4 linked regions of the Arabidopsis thaliana genome follow. The protein of the gene in region 4 interacts with the protein of the main gene of each other region in a pairwise test. Each region holds a gene or a part of one and is shown on either strand. Other genes may lie near its edges.

What was found.
Region 1: the proteins of MAPR2 (region 4) and AT1G43080 interact in a protein complementation assay, tested with the Arabidopsis thaliana proteins (one large-scale study listed by BioGRID).
Region 2: the proteins of MAPR2 (region 4) and AT2G25890 interact in a protein complementation assay, tested with the Arabidopsis thaliana proteins (one large-scale study listed by BioGRID).
Region 3: the proteins of MAPR2 (region 4) and AT3G08600 interact in a protein complementation assay, tested with the Arabidopsis thaliana proteins (one large-scale study listed by BioGRID).

What each region holds. Positions count from the first base shown.
Region 1 is NC_003070.9:16,213,442-16,217,696, forward strand, and holds AT1G43080 (Pectin lyase-like superfamily protein), read right to left. Parts: upstream 2,388-4,255; coding exon 2,244-2,387; intron 1,929-2,243; coding exon 1,617-1,928; intron 1,405-1,616; coding exon 880-1,404; intron 788-879; coding exon 554-787; downstream 1-553. Other genes in the region: AT1G43090 (Pectin lyase-like superfamily protein), read right to left, coding at 3,756-4,109, 4,202-4,255.
Region 2 is NC_003071.7:11,035,627-11,038,715, reverse strand, and holds AT2G25890 (Oleosin family protein), read right to left. Parts: upstream 1,414-3,089; 5' UTR 1,357-1,413; coding exon 832-1,356; 3' UTR 537-831; downstream 1-536. Other genes in the region: AUR2 (ataurora2), read left to right, coding at 1,706-1,918, 2,364-2,471, 2,562-2,708, 2,805-2,900, 2,982-3,077.
Region 3 is NC_003074.8:2,610,406-2,614,561, reverse strand, and holds AT3G08600 (transmembrane protein, putative (DUF1191)), read right to left. Parts: upstream 2,388-4,156; 5' UTR 1,917-2,387; coding exon 966-1,916; 3' UTR 544-965; downstream 1-543. Other genes in the region: iPGAM2 (Phosphoglycerate mutase, 2,3-bisphosphoglycerate-independent), read left to right, coding at 3,325-3,489, 3,585-3,863, 3,947-4,150.
Region 4 is NC_003071.7:10,607,568-10,610,402, forward strand, and holds MAPR2 (membrane-associated progesterone binding protein 2), read left to right. Parts: upstream 1-1,849; 5' UTR 1,850-1,879; coding exon 1,880-2,182; 3' UTR 2,183-2,333; downstream 2,334-2,835.

The sequences.
Region 1 (4,255 bases), on a different chromosome or scaffold from region 4:
AAGTGTTTATATGCATGATTCCCTTCTGTTTTAGGAGTTCTTAATGCTATTTTCTTTCTGATCAATTGAAAATTGATTTCAGACTTTCTCCACCTAATAAGTGTTTGATGAAATGTCTGAACCAACTAATTTCAGAGATTTGTAGACTCTAGCCCAAGACATTGGATGTTTAGACTGCTTATTGATTTTAATAGATTGGTGTTTAAAGCCTGCTTTATTATGTTTCATCAATGAAAGTTGAGATTAGGAAGTGATAAAGTTATGAGGATCATTGTCATGAAAGTGGATTGATCTGGTTTTGAATCTATTGTCTAGGGATAGCTTGATTTAGTTTGTTAGTTAGCTAATGGATTCAGAAGTTAAAAATTTAACCGTTCTGTCGTAGATTTGTTTTGTTGTAGAAAGAACTATTCATTAAGAATTTGTATGTGTGATCATGATATCATATAAACAAGAACATAAAACATAAAATATATACAAAAATTAGGCAATAATATGTAACTAAAAATATCATGTATAACTCAAAAGGTTATTTTTTCGATGGACCATTGAGTCAATCTAGACAATGTTGAGGAACCATCTTACTACGTACAGAACCGTCAACATTCTCGCACATCGCTGTGGAATGACCTTTCTCGAGTCCAGTATGCTTTAGGTTAATATCAATTAGTTCAACATTCTTGCACGGAAAGCTCTTGCTACATTGTAGATTCACTGCCACTATGTTATTCGACGTTCCATATATGTTTTTTAACTTAATGTCTTGGATCTGAACGTGAGACTCACCCTGAACAAGGAAACACAAGTTGTCTTTTGTTTTATATTTCATTGTGATTGAAGAAAAAAATAACCAAGCTTGTTCATGCATATAATGTTAACCTTTTTTTCATGTTCACAAGGTGGGTGAGGGCAATACTTCTGATCAATGTTGATCGGTTTTCCAACGTCAATCATCTGAATATTCTCGTATATGAAGTTAGAAACTACGATTTTTGAAGCCGAAGATTCCCAAGTCTTGATCCGAATACCATCGCTTGTGCCGTTGAAAACTGTGTCTCTTACCGTTAAGTGCTTTACGTCTTTCTCGTCTTTGTTCTTCCCTAAGCTTCCAACACTGATCCCATGTCCAGGACCACACTTGATGTTAGAGATATCAAGGTTAGTGGTCCCAGAGAGAATGGCAATACAATCATCTCCGGTACCGATGTTTGTGTTTGAGATGTGAATGTTGCTACAAGAACCCATTTTGATACCGTCAGTATTTGGGCTATCACCGGGAGCTGTTATAGTGACGCCGGTAATGTTGAAGCGATGGACAGAGAAGAAGTTAAAGTGTCCCATTTTGCTGTTGAGTGATGTTATGTCTTTGATTCTTGAGTTGTTCACGAATGCAAATCCCATAGTCTGTAAACATTTCAAATTTTATCATATCACTAGAAACAAAGAGTAGATACTTCAATTCATTTGTATATAATAAATATATATGGTTAAAAAATAAATGATCAAAATATACTTGTTACCATTGTATAATACAGTTTCAATGTAAACAATATATAATCATATTTTCTCAAACAAGAAATATATTATAAAAAGAAAAGCTTAAGAAGAAACGGTACCATAGCTAGTTTAGGACAATTAGTGTTTTTGTGGCAGTCATTGAGTGGCCAAGAGTATTTTCCTTGGCCGTCAAGTGTACCGGAACCGGAGATAGAGAGATTGTTGATGTACCGGAAGTTGATCCATGTGTCCTGCTTAATGTCCCTAGGGTTTGCAGGAGCCAATAAAGTTCCATCGATGACAAATTCAATAGGATTTTTGCATGGACCCACAAACTCTACACCACCGAGATAGAATGTTCCTTTCGGTACGTAGATTTTACTACTTCCACTTATCCTTGTGCATGCACGTTTCCATACACTTGTGAATGCCTAATTTTGTATATGTTAAGAATAAGATAGGTTAATTATTAAACAAAAAAATCCATAGAAGTTGATAAAAGATTTAGTTAAATTTAATTGGTTAATATAATACCAATCCATATATTGTTATGTAGAAAGTCAAGAAGATTTATATATACTATCATATCAAAATGTTTTTTCAACATATATTATTAGATTATTTAAATGTATTTTGATATTGAGTTGAGCTTATTTCAATGTATTTGGAAGCCAATATAAATTGGGAATCAACAAAACTAAATAAATAACTATTAACATTGATTAGAAAAGTTATTGTGTACATACATTGGCATTATCAGTTTTTCCGTCTGGTCTAGAACCATAGCGTCGGACGTTGAAAACCTTTGGTCTGATAGTCGGACGACTTGCAACAGCAATGAACAAGAAAGACAAACACAAAGCTTTAAACGTAGAAGCGATGGAGACCATCTTATTCTTTTGTTTGGGTATATGGAGATATAACAAAAAGGTGCTGTTTAATAATAGTTGTTCTTATAGTGTAAGACACAATGAGAAGTGTTCGCACATTTTATCTATTTATATAGAGTTAACATGTCTCAACAGACTGTTAAAAGCACTTGATTATTGTTATCAGTTAACTACTAAATATGGGCGGCTTCTTTATAATGATCGTGATTGGTTAATATACTGTTATGATGATTTTTTGAGTGTATATTGTTTAGTTTTTAATCTCTTCATTAAAACAGAATCTTAATTTTGGGAAATGTGCCAATAAGATTACCTATAATTTGTTTCTTTTTTTAATGGGTTTTAATTTAAATTGCATAAAACCAAAATGTTTTCGAAATGATTTCTTTGTGGATTTTATTTTTATTTTGATGGATACTAAACTTTAGTATTTACATTATTTTGTAAACTTGTATTTATTCAAAATTTTCATAAGATATAACGATTAAATTGCTACACGCATTTGCATGCCTAAAATTGCATATCTCCATTACTCTACTTGATGTTTTTTATTCATAAATCACAACATGCTAGTAAAATGAATATATAATTACTTACTAGATTAAATAATTAATGAAAATTTTCACTTTCTTAATATCATAAAAAACAAATTGCGGTCTCTAAACGAAAAGTACAAGAAAATACAAAGGTGATAATAAAAATTTCAAATTGTTTCTATGTGAACAATCAAAATGTTTCTTAATTATATTCTTCTTCTTCATCTTTTTCGGCAATCTCGATGTCTCTCTGATCTGTCAGTCAAGGTCCTTCTTGGCGATTTAGTAAGTAGGTGATGGAAGTCGTTGCCCTTCCGGTGTAAAATTCTCCTTGCGATGTACGACGGCATTTTGTGAACTTTGCGTTGCCTAAACACATGATATACATTATTGTGTCATGCTATTTGCCAATATTTTGGGTAATGGAGGAGGCTCGAGCTTTGATTTTTAATTCACAAAAACTTATGACATCAATAAATAATTTAAATATAGGGAAATTTTCTAATAGCACATTTAAATTAAAAACACTTATAAATAGTTTTTAATTAAACATATTTTTATAAGTAAGTATGAGAAGAAAAAGATAATAGTTTTTCAATTGTTTATTAGAATTATATAAACATTTAAATTAAAATTATTTAATAAAAGTTACAATAAACCGAACAAACCTTAAAAGATATTTATTGAGATTTTCCTTATTAGTTTGATTCTAGTAAAGTGTAATTGTTACTAAGTATGATGGTAAAATTATTGGAAGTTAAACATTTAACCGTTCTTTCTTAGATTTGTTTTGTTGTAGAATGAACTATTCATTAAGAATTTGTATGTGTGATCATGATATCATATAAACAAGAACATAAAACATAAAATATATACAAAAATTAGGCAATAATATGTAACTAAAAATATCATGTATAACCCAAAAGGTTATTTTTTCGATGGACCATTGAGTCAATCTAGACAATGTTGAGGAACCATTCTTACCACGTACAGAACCGTCAACATTCTCGCACATCGCTGTGGAATGACCTTTCTCGAGTCCAGTATGCTTTAGGTTAATATCAATTAGTTCAACATTCTTGCACGGAAAGCTCTTGCTACATTGTAGATTCACTGCCACTATGTTATTCGACGTTCCATATATGTTTTTTAACTTAATGTCTTGGATCTGAACGTGAGACTTACCCTGAACAAGGAAACACAAGTTGTCTTTTGTTTTATATTTCATTGTAATTGAAGAAAAAAATAACCAAGCTTGTTCATGCATATAATGTTAACCTTTTTTTCATGTTCACAAGGTGGGTGAGGGCAATACTTCTGATCAATGTTGAT
Region 2 (3,089 bases), 430 kb from region 4:
AACCTCGTTTGAAAGTACAACTGCTCTACAAGACTGCATTGCCCACTACAAGCAGTGAATGTTGTCCACCCTCAGCTTCTTTATACGTTCGTGAAGCATGCATGTGCATTTTGTTGGTGCGCGCATAGTAAGCCATGCCATGCAATTCAATGCCAATGGTTTACGAACATATAGACAAGTAAAGTTTTCAATTATTTCATGAGTACCTAAAAACCACATTCATAGAACAGTTTGCAAGTATTCGAAATTTGGGAAAACATGCATACGACCTCACCGCATCTCTCAAAGGCCGAATACAATTTTTGAGGAATGATTAAACAAAGAAATATTTTTACAATCACACTAACTACAATACGTTCATGAAGACAACGTAAATGACACGAGCCATTTAGCGCAGCCTTCGAAATTTATTTAGCGAGTATAGATAAAGTGGTTCAAGCCTTGGTATTGATACACAAAATTCACAAACCTTGCAATTTTCTTTTTGAACATAAAAACAACAATATTATTTCAAATCAAACGGACCACACTCAAAACTACATTTACATATACCAAGAAAGCCACCATATAATTCTAGAAGCCAGACGGTGACCAAGTAATTGGCATTTATTAATTTACTTAATTCGTTATCATCTTTCCTTACACTAGCTATTTCACAATCATAAAACAGAAAATACCGATCAGCAATTAAACACACAAAAAATTGTATGGAAAATAGAAAATAAAATTTTAGATAGATCTTTTCAAAAAGGTAAGAACAGTATTAAAAAAACATACGTAGGATAATCATAAAACTTAATACAACATATAGATCCATATAATTATTAAACTCTAATGAGTAGTTGTTGTGGTTTGGTGTGTTTGTTGTGGCTGCGAGTGCGTATAATGTCCCAACTCTTTGGCTTTCTCCGCTATCCTCATCCTCGCGTAATCCACCTTATCCGCTCCCATCGGGTGTTTTCCGGTAACGTACTTATAAATCCACGTTAACGCCGTAGCTGCTGCCACCCCACAACCACCGGAGAATAGGAATCCCATCGTCAAAAGCCCTATCGTTATCACTGCCGGTACCAACACCGGGCTGAACAGAACCATCAACGGCGTCGCTACGATCAAACCGATCACCGTTCCGGTTAGTGTTAGTCCTGAGAGCACGAGGAGTGATAGGCCGATCGTAGCTGCCGTTACGAATCTCACTATCTGCCGAGTCGATGGTGATGATTCATGGAGACTCCTCATTATTGGTTGTTGTTGTTGCTGATGTTGTTGATGATCCGCCATTTCTTTTTTTCTTTTTCTAAGAGAGTATGGATTTAATGTTCTATGTTGTTTTTGTAGCTTTAATAAGCTTACCATTTGTGATTATTATGAAGAATGAAAATAGACTAGTATGAAGGAGAGGCTAAACTTAAACGAGACATGTGTCGAACGACGAGGCGTGTTAGGCAATGGAGAAGAGTGTCACGCGGGCGTGTCAGTTCTGCATGGAGCTACTTTGACGAGGTACTGACACGTGGTTACTTAGTTCCGAATTAAAATCTCATCGTCAAACGATCTTGAAGCTTATTGGGCTATTATCTGGGCTTGTAGTGACTGTATATTATCCTAGTGATTATGAAGTTGGAATACCGTGGGCTTAATAATATCTGGGCCTGTAGCGACTGTATCATCTCGGGAGACAAATTATTTGAAAATAAAAACCTCGATGCAGATGTATCAACACGTGGCAGCATCTGGATTCGACCGTTGCTGCTTTGCTGGTGGTTTACGTTTTTTCCCCTTTTTAAATTTCTCAATTTGGATCTGTTCCCTTTGTGAAAATTACTCTCTCTTCTCTCTTTCTTTCTTCTCTTTCTCTCGCTATCTTGGCTCATCAACGATCTCTTCCATGGGGATTTCTACAGAGACGCAGCAAATTGTAAGAAAATAACTTGTTCTTGGTTTCACAAATTCCAATTTCATTTGGTTCTTTTGTCGAATTTGTTTCAATTTAGGGTTTTACTTCCTTGTTGGTTTGCGTTTTTTCTCTGCGTTTGGTCTGTTCTAATGGAATGTGATCTGGGATTATCGATTTGGTTGCTTGATTTTCTTTGCGCCAGAAAGAATCTTGTTTCAATGTTCTCTGTTTAATTTGAGAAAGACTTGTTGGTATGATTTTGAGAAATTTCATGATATGATTGTGGATTTATTCGTTTACAGCGAGGACCCTAGATTAATTGACAAATCCGTGGATTAGTGTTAAGGAGCTGTTGATTTTATCCTTTTATCTTCAAGTTTTAAAGTATCAATGATTGTTTGTCGTTTATGATTAAGTGTATCTGAGAGTTGATTGGATTTCAATCTTTGTGATAATGTTGTATCAGGCGGCTTCAGAGGCTGCACAAAAGAGATGGACTACAAGCGATTTCGATATCGGAAAGCCACTTGGTAGAGGAAAGTTTGGCCATGTTTATCTAGCAAGAGAGAAACGGGTTAGTGTTTCTTCACAATTATGTTAAACAAGCAGAATTAATTTGATGTCTTTTTTAACCAAGCTGTCTTCTATGTGTCTTTGCAAACAGAGCGATCACATTGTGGCTTTAAAGGTTCTTTTTAAGGCTCAGCTTCAACAATCTCAAGTTGAACACCAGTTACGAAGGGAAGTAGAGATTCAATCTCATCTTCGGCATCCCAATATTCTGCGGCTCTACGGTTACTTCTATGATCAGGTTTTGTGTTATCTGTGCTTGTAAAAGAACTTCTTGTTGACATACAATGTTTGGCTCTGTGAGGTTAACATAGTTTTTGGGATACCGTTGTTGCAGAAAAGAGTTTATTTGATTTTGGAGTATGCTGTAAGGGGTGAGCTTTATAAAGAGCTTCAGAAGTGCAAGTACTTCAGCGAACGTCGAGCAGCAACTGTAAGTCCTAGTGATAATTGAACTTATTCTAGCATGTTAATGTGAATCTGTGTAGTCATACCCTTACGTTTATTGTGGCAGTATGTTGCGTCATTGGCTAGAGCCCTCATCTATTGCCATGGAAAGCATGTAATTCACAGAGATATAAAACCTGAAAATCTGTTGATTGGTGCTCAGGTAACAAATTGA
Region 3 (4,156 bases), on a different chromosome or scaffold from region 4:
ATTTTGGAATGATGAGACAAAAAATCTCCTGGTATCTGCAGAAGTCAGAGGAGATGCTGCAATGCTAACTTAGCCATTAACGTTGTTGTCATGGCATTTTACTTGATATGAGCAAGAGGCCACAAGATGGCCCAAGCCAGGATTAACCAAGTCATGTATTCACTTTAACTCAAACTTTATTCCAAATCTGTTCAGTGCAAAGATTTGTAGCTGTGCACATTGTTACATACCTGAAGTGGCAAACGGTGCTTTTCTAAAATGTAGAATGCAAAAAATCCATATGAACGAGATGACTTTTCATATAAGGTAAGCAAACAAGACAATCCTAGATGTAAACATAAACGTTGTAACATTGCCAAGTGCAAATCATCTTCTACATATCCTACCGGATTCTAACCTCTTTGGTTCCAAAATCTATTGGTTCATCGGTGATCTTCTAATATAAATGTGAGGGTCAACAAGTTGCATGAAGCAGATAGCTGCAAAAAATGTTAAAACTCAACAAATCTCAAGAACACACTAGTTCCTTTTGAAGAATGCTAAGCTCAATGTAACAAAGTTGAGTATGGATGATAGGATGATATACATCTTCTTCAACTGTCTGCTTCTCAGACAAAAAGATGTTGAAATTATTACAAAAAGGGCAAAGCTTTACAGCAAAAGTAGTTAGAAGAAAACAAAGTGAGTGCACTCCAGAAACAATCCAACTCTTTTCATTCTCATGGAGAGACCACCAAAGTTTGTTAATTTGAGAGCACAAGAAGAAAACAATATTACTTATTTCCTTATCACCAGCAGAGAAACAAGATGAATGTGGAAGTATCAACTTGCTTACCACAAAGAAAAAATAATCAGAAAAAGAAACACTTTACCAAAAGAAGAATAATTGTAGAAGAAAAAAAGAAAAAGACAGTAACAGATGATCAAGAAGATGTGATGATGATGATGATGTACACAAAAGTATCCTAAGCTGCGTATTCGGTTTCAAGCATTGGTTGTGTACGAGTCGTAGTAGCAGTTGGTGCTCTTGTTTCACCAACCTGAGTCATCCTCAGAGCTTCCCCTGTCTCTCCAGCTCTCTCCATCTCCCTCATTTTCTCTTGCTTCTTGTAATTTCGACATCTCAAAACCAGAAACAGTAAAAGCCCCAACAGTATCAATCCACCAACCACCGACCCAACAATGATCCAAGTCTTGGAATTGGAATCAGAGCTCTTCTTCTTCTTCTTACTCTCAATCCCAGGAGGAGCTAGACTCGGAGCAGAAGCCACAGATTTCACCACCACAGAGAAATGTCCCTGATGCTCAGTCTCGCATGTGTTTCCAGGCTGAATCGAATCGCTGAAACTCGCTTCACCTTTAGAATCGAATCTAACACACTTAGCACTAGACCCTTGCGGGATTCGTTCCAGATCAGAGAAATCGATTCTGATAGGATCATTAGACACCCTTAAATCAAGCTGAGGCAAATTAAGCGCAGAGAGATTCTTAGCATCGTAAGCGAGAAGACCCAAGACAGGAGCGACATAATCATAACCAGACAAAGGGTAATACAAGTGAGAGAAATTAGCTAGGTTTTGATAAACCAAAACAAGCCTTGTCACATACGGCTTGACGATAACGCCGCTGGGAATTGAGAACTCATTAAAAGGAGTGACTCCACGTTTTCTAAAGCTTCCGCTTCTGAGTCTCATAGCAGCGAGTTTGATCCCAGTCAAATTGGAAGGAACAGTAGTAGCCTCGTAGAGAATGCCGGTACGAGGACGAAGCAAGGCTCTAAAAGAGTAATCTTGAAGAAGAGCATCGAGTGAAGAAGAAGAAGAAGCATTGGGTGAAGAAGATTGAGCAGAGAGCTTTTGTAGACGAAGAGATAGAAACAGAAGCAGCAGCAGCTGGAGACAACGGAGAAACCCCATTGCTTTTTTTTGTTTCTTTCGCCTCTGGAGCAAAAAAAAATCCCCCCAGGGCGAGTCAAAGGTGGGAGACACAGGAATAAAAAGTCGCCGTCACGTCTGAGTAGAAAAAGGGTAAAAAGGGGAAATGGTGAAGAGAAGAACAAATCGAGGAATGAGGGTTAAGGAGCAATGGAGGAAGCTGAGGAGGAGGAGGAGGAGGAGGAGGAGAGAGAATGAATGGTCGCCGGTGGAAAAGAGAGAGAGAGAGAAAGGAGAGAAGGAGAGAGCCAAAAGGACAAAAAGGAGAAGAAGAGTGTTGTCGTCAGTCCCATTTGTTCACAAAAAAAAAAATGATACAGCCTGTTCATCTGATTTTTTCTCCCTTTACACATTAACAAAAATTTAATATTTTGTTTGTTTTTTTTACTTTCCTTTTCGACCAATCATATTGATACATTGCGGCATTCAATTTCGCCGTAACAGTTGTCCGTCTACCTCTTATTGTGTTATCTGTATCTCTCTCTGTATATTTCCCATATATGTATACTGTATGATTCTTTTCTACTTTTGTTTTTGTCTTTCCTTATCCTTGGCCCATTTATCTGACTATGAACCACGTCTCATCTAGTTTCAGGCTTTTTAAGCCCAATATATAGGAACTCAACTTTTTGTCTTTGGCCCATTAGAAATTGTTTTTTAGCCTTCTACCAACCTTTTGAAGGTTCCCAGTTAATATTATGATGATATTGAATAAATAAATGTGCACAACCCTGAATTTCTTACATGAGTTTTCGGTTTGGTTTTCGTGTAATTTCAGTTTGATTTAATGCAATCTCAAGGTTTAAATAATGATTTAGATAAAAAAAAGTTACTGTCAACAGAAATTAATGTAATCCCAGTTACTAAAACTTACCCATTTTTGATCAAATTCTGGTTCAAATACCGTATAAACTATTAAGTTAACTCCGGTTTGACCTTTTCTGTATGCTATTTTTTACGTTGACCAAAATAAAAAGGTATATACAATTTTTTTTACATGGCGCACACCATGACTATTACAAACGGCATGATCCAGAACATTCGTTCATAGCAGCTAAAACTAGAACATTCGTCTCCTTCCATTTTTTTGGGGGCTTCACAATGTTTACTTGAGCCCAAAGTAAAGCCCATTAAATTGGTACCACGTCATCGCTAACTTTTCCATTTCTATGTTTCTATAAAAGTCTCATATTATGTCAGTGATAGCTCTCAACCTACCATACTTCACCACATAACCACTTCTGTCTCTGCGAATCTCCATAAGACTCTTTGAGAAGCTTTCCTCTGTTTCTCCGCTGGTAAGCTTCCGTTATCTCTCTCTCTCTCGCTTCTCAGATCTGTTCCTTAAACCTTTAATTTCTCACCGACGAGTGGATCTGAATCCACAGTTATGGGTAGCTCCGGCGACGTTAACTGGAAACTTGCGGACCACCCCAAGCTTCCCAAAGGCAAAACTATCGGTTTGATTGTTCTCGATGGATGGGGTGAATCTGATCCCGATCAATACAATTGCATCCATAAAGCTCCAACTCCTGCCATGGATTCCCTTAAAGACGTATGTTTCCTTTTTTGTTTATATCCACTTCTTTCCTCGATGATTTCGCTGGATTCCGATTATGGACTTCAACGGTTCGATTTTATTCTTCACAGGGGAAGCCCGACACATGGAGGTTGATCAAAGCTCATGGTACCGCCGTTGGTCTCCCCAGCGAAGACGACATGGGAAACAGTGAAGTTGGCCACAATGCTCTTGGAGCTGGTCGAATTTACGCTCAAGGTGCTAAGCTTGTTGATCTCGCCCTTGCTTCAGGGAAAATCTATGAAGATGAAGGTTTCAAATACATCTCTCAATCTTTTGAGAAAGGCACTGTGCACCTTATTGGTCTTCTAAGCGATGGTGGAGTTCACTCTCGTTTGGATCAAGTCCAGGTACTTAATTCTCATCTGTTACACATTTCTTTTGAAACGTTGGCGTTTGTTAATTTTCTTTAATTTGGTTCTGTTTGGTGCAGTTGCTGCTTAAGGGTTTTGCAGAACGTGGTGCTAAGAGAATCCGCGTCCATATTCTTACTGATGGTCGTGATGTTTTGGATGGTTCTAGTGTCGGATTTGTTGAAACTCTTGAAGCTGACCTAGCTGCTTTACGTGCGAAAGGTGTTGATGCTCAGGTTGCATCTGGTGGAGGTCGAATGTATGTCACAATGGACCGTTATGAGGTAGGC
Region 4 (2,835 bases):
CTCTGCACGTTACTAAGCCCTGCCTAAGTTCATCTAGATTAGGACCTTCACCGGTTGGCACACGCAATTCACTGAAGAACGCTTTGTAGTCAGCTTCAGGCTCAAACTTTTCTGTAGGCAGATCATCTATATTTAAACCAGTGATATGATGAAATTCGTTCAATCCAAACCGGATGGGTTTACCAGCCACGATACACCAAAGCTCCTTCTTCAGTATTCTCAGCTGTCTGCATAGTAGATAATGTACGGTCTTACCAGACCAGAGAAAATGACTATCAACAAGCTTAGCAATTAATCCAAGCTCTGTCTCTTTCAGTTCTGCCCATATTTCTTCTCCTATTGATTCTCTAATTGCAGGGAACTCTCCCAGCTTTATATTATGATTAATGCCTTTACCCTCCAGATTAGAATCCCCCTCTTGGTAAAGTCTTGGAGGGTACTCCCTTGCTTGGTCTTCAGACATCTGTATAACCATAAATCAGCCGTAAGCATTCCATAACTCAGTCATAACATAAAACAAACTCATCCACAGATACCATAACTCAGGCAAAACATAAATCTAACTCAGCCATAGATAACATAACTCAGTCATAACATAAACCTATCTCAGCCATAGATAACATAACTCAGTCATAACATAAACCTATCTCAGCCACACATAACATAACTCAGCCATAAGATAAATCTAACTCAGCCATATTTTAACAGAAACTCAGTCAAACCATAACATAACAACAGCTCAGTTAAAACATAAACCAGACTCAGCTATATCAAAACAGAAACTCAGCCATAACATAAACAAACTCAGCCGTCATATAACAGAAACTCAGACATCGATGTAAGGTTAAACCATAACTCAGTCACAGCATAAAAAAAACTCAGACACGGATGAATTGATAAATCATAAATCAGTCGGCAAACAAACAGTAACTCAGCCGTCAAATCAAATAGATCTAAGAAATCGGCCACCATATGTCAATCAACGTCGACGTTAAAACCCAGCTTTAAAAACCATCGTTACGCATCGGAAAACGATTTCAGTGACGGGAATCACTTGAGATTGAACTTAGATGTCAGAGTCTTACTTCATTGAAAGATACTCACCGGAACTTAGATGTCGAATGTGACTTCGCGCTTACGTAAATGCGACTCCGGCGTCTGAATTTCGGCCGGAACAGACGAGAAAAGAGCAAAACGGCGAAAGAAATCGATTTCGTTCCGTCGAGAGAGAAAGTGGAAGAAAGCGACAGTTTTTTTTTTTTTTGGGAGATGATGAACAGTAAAGCTAAGAAATAAGAAACCCAAACGTTATGGAGTTTGGAGATAATTAATGACGTGGATTATGGTAATGACATGGAATAATGACATGTATAATCACTGTTTTTTCATTTAATTTTTAGTTAAAAACGAATTAAATAATAATAATTAATTAAAACTAATTAGGGGTGTTAATTGTAATTACACAATAACTGAAAACATCTGAGTAATAAAAAAAAGATGTGTTCTACTGTAGGAATAAACATACAAATGTGTTCTATCTTAGGAATTAGTTCAAATTAAATTGTCTTTTCCCAAAGCCGTCCTTTAAACCCGACGAAGTTGTTTAAGCAGCTTAAATTAAGCTCCTTGAAAGATTAAGCATTTCTGGAATTTTTATCGACTTTAATTAGAGAAAAATAAAATATTTTTTGATATTCCTTGTAAAAATCTGAAGAATAAAGTTTACTCCACTTATTACCGACACAAAAAAAGTTGTTCCACTTATTAAAAAAAAGTTATTCAGTTATAATTTTTTTAAAAAAATCCTCTGTTATATATCTCTCACTATCTTTTATTTGGTTCTTTCCAGAAACAATTGATCAGAGCTTTAAAGAAAAAGATGGAATTCACCGCAGAGCAGCTAAGCCAATACAACGGCACCGACGAATCAAAGCCGATCTACGTCGCAATCAAAGGCCGTGTGTTCGATGTCACCACCGGAAAATCCTTCTACGGCTCCGGAGGCGATTACTCGATGTTCGCCGGAAAAGACGCGAGCAGAGCTTTGGGTAAGATGAGTAAGAACGAAGAAGATGTGTCTCCTTCTCTTGAAGGTCTCACTGAGAAAGAGATCAATACTCTTAATGATTGGGAGACCAAATTTGAAGCTAAGTATCCTGTCGTTGGCCGTGTTGTCTCTTAGGTCTCTCTTCTGAGATTGCACTATGTTATGTAACTATTGTGTGTGAGGATCTTTGTGTTGTGTGTTTTCTGATTTCGTGTTTGGATCTGATCGTTTTGATACAATTACCATAAGTACCAAATTATCTATGAAATAAATCGGGGATTTCGTGTTCTCAGTGGTCTTCATATTCTGATCTTAAGGTTACTTTGTTGTGCTTACCAAAAAAAAAAGGTTACTTTGTTGTGATGATTAGGATTTTAGGAGTTTTAAGTCTCATATGTATTTGATGAGAGGATATAAAGATTGGTTTGTGTCTTTCATATCTTGCAAATACTTGGAGCTAATTGTGTCTGGTGAAAGAAAAACTGATGGTTTCTGAAATCTGAGCAACACCAAACTTACTGGTAGTTTTGGATTCGGTGTAAATTATCTTACAAGTTCCAAGTTGTTGTTAATTTTAGTCTTTTGCGTTATGAGATTTGGAAGAATATAGTTATGATGAACATTCAGAATTCATAGAAGCTAATGTGTGTCTTCTTTGATTCTTTCTTACTTCTCCCGGTCTAAATTATTATCATCACTTGTATGACTTCGGCCCTGTTCGGCATGGCGTTCTTGCGACTAATATGTTGCTTTAACGCCAAGTCTTAGGTTTGAGGGAGAGCTGTTCA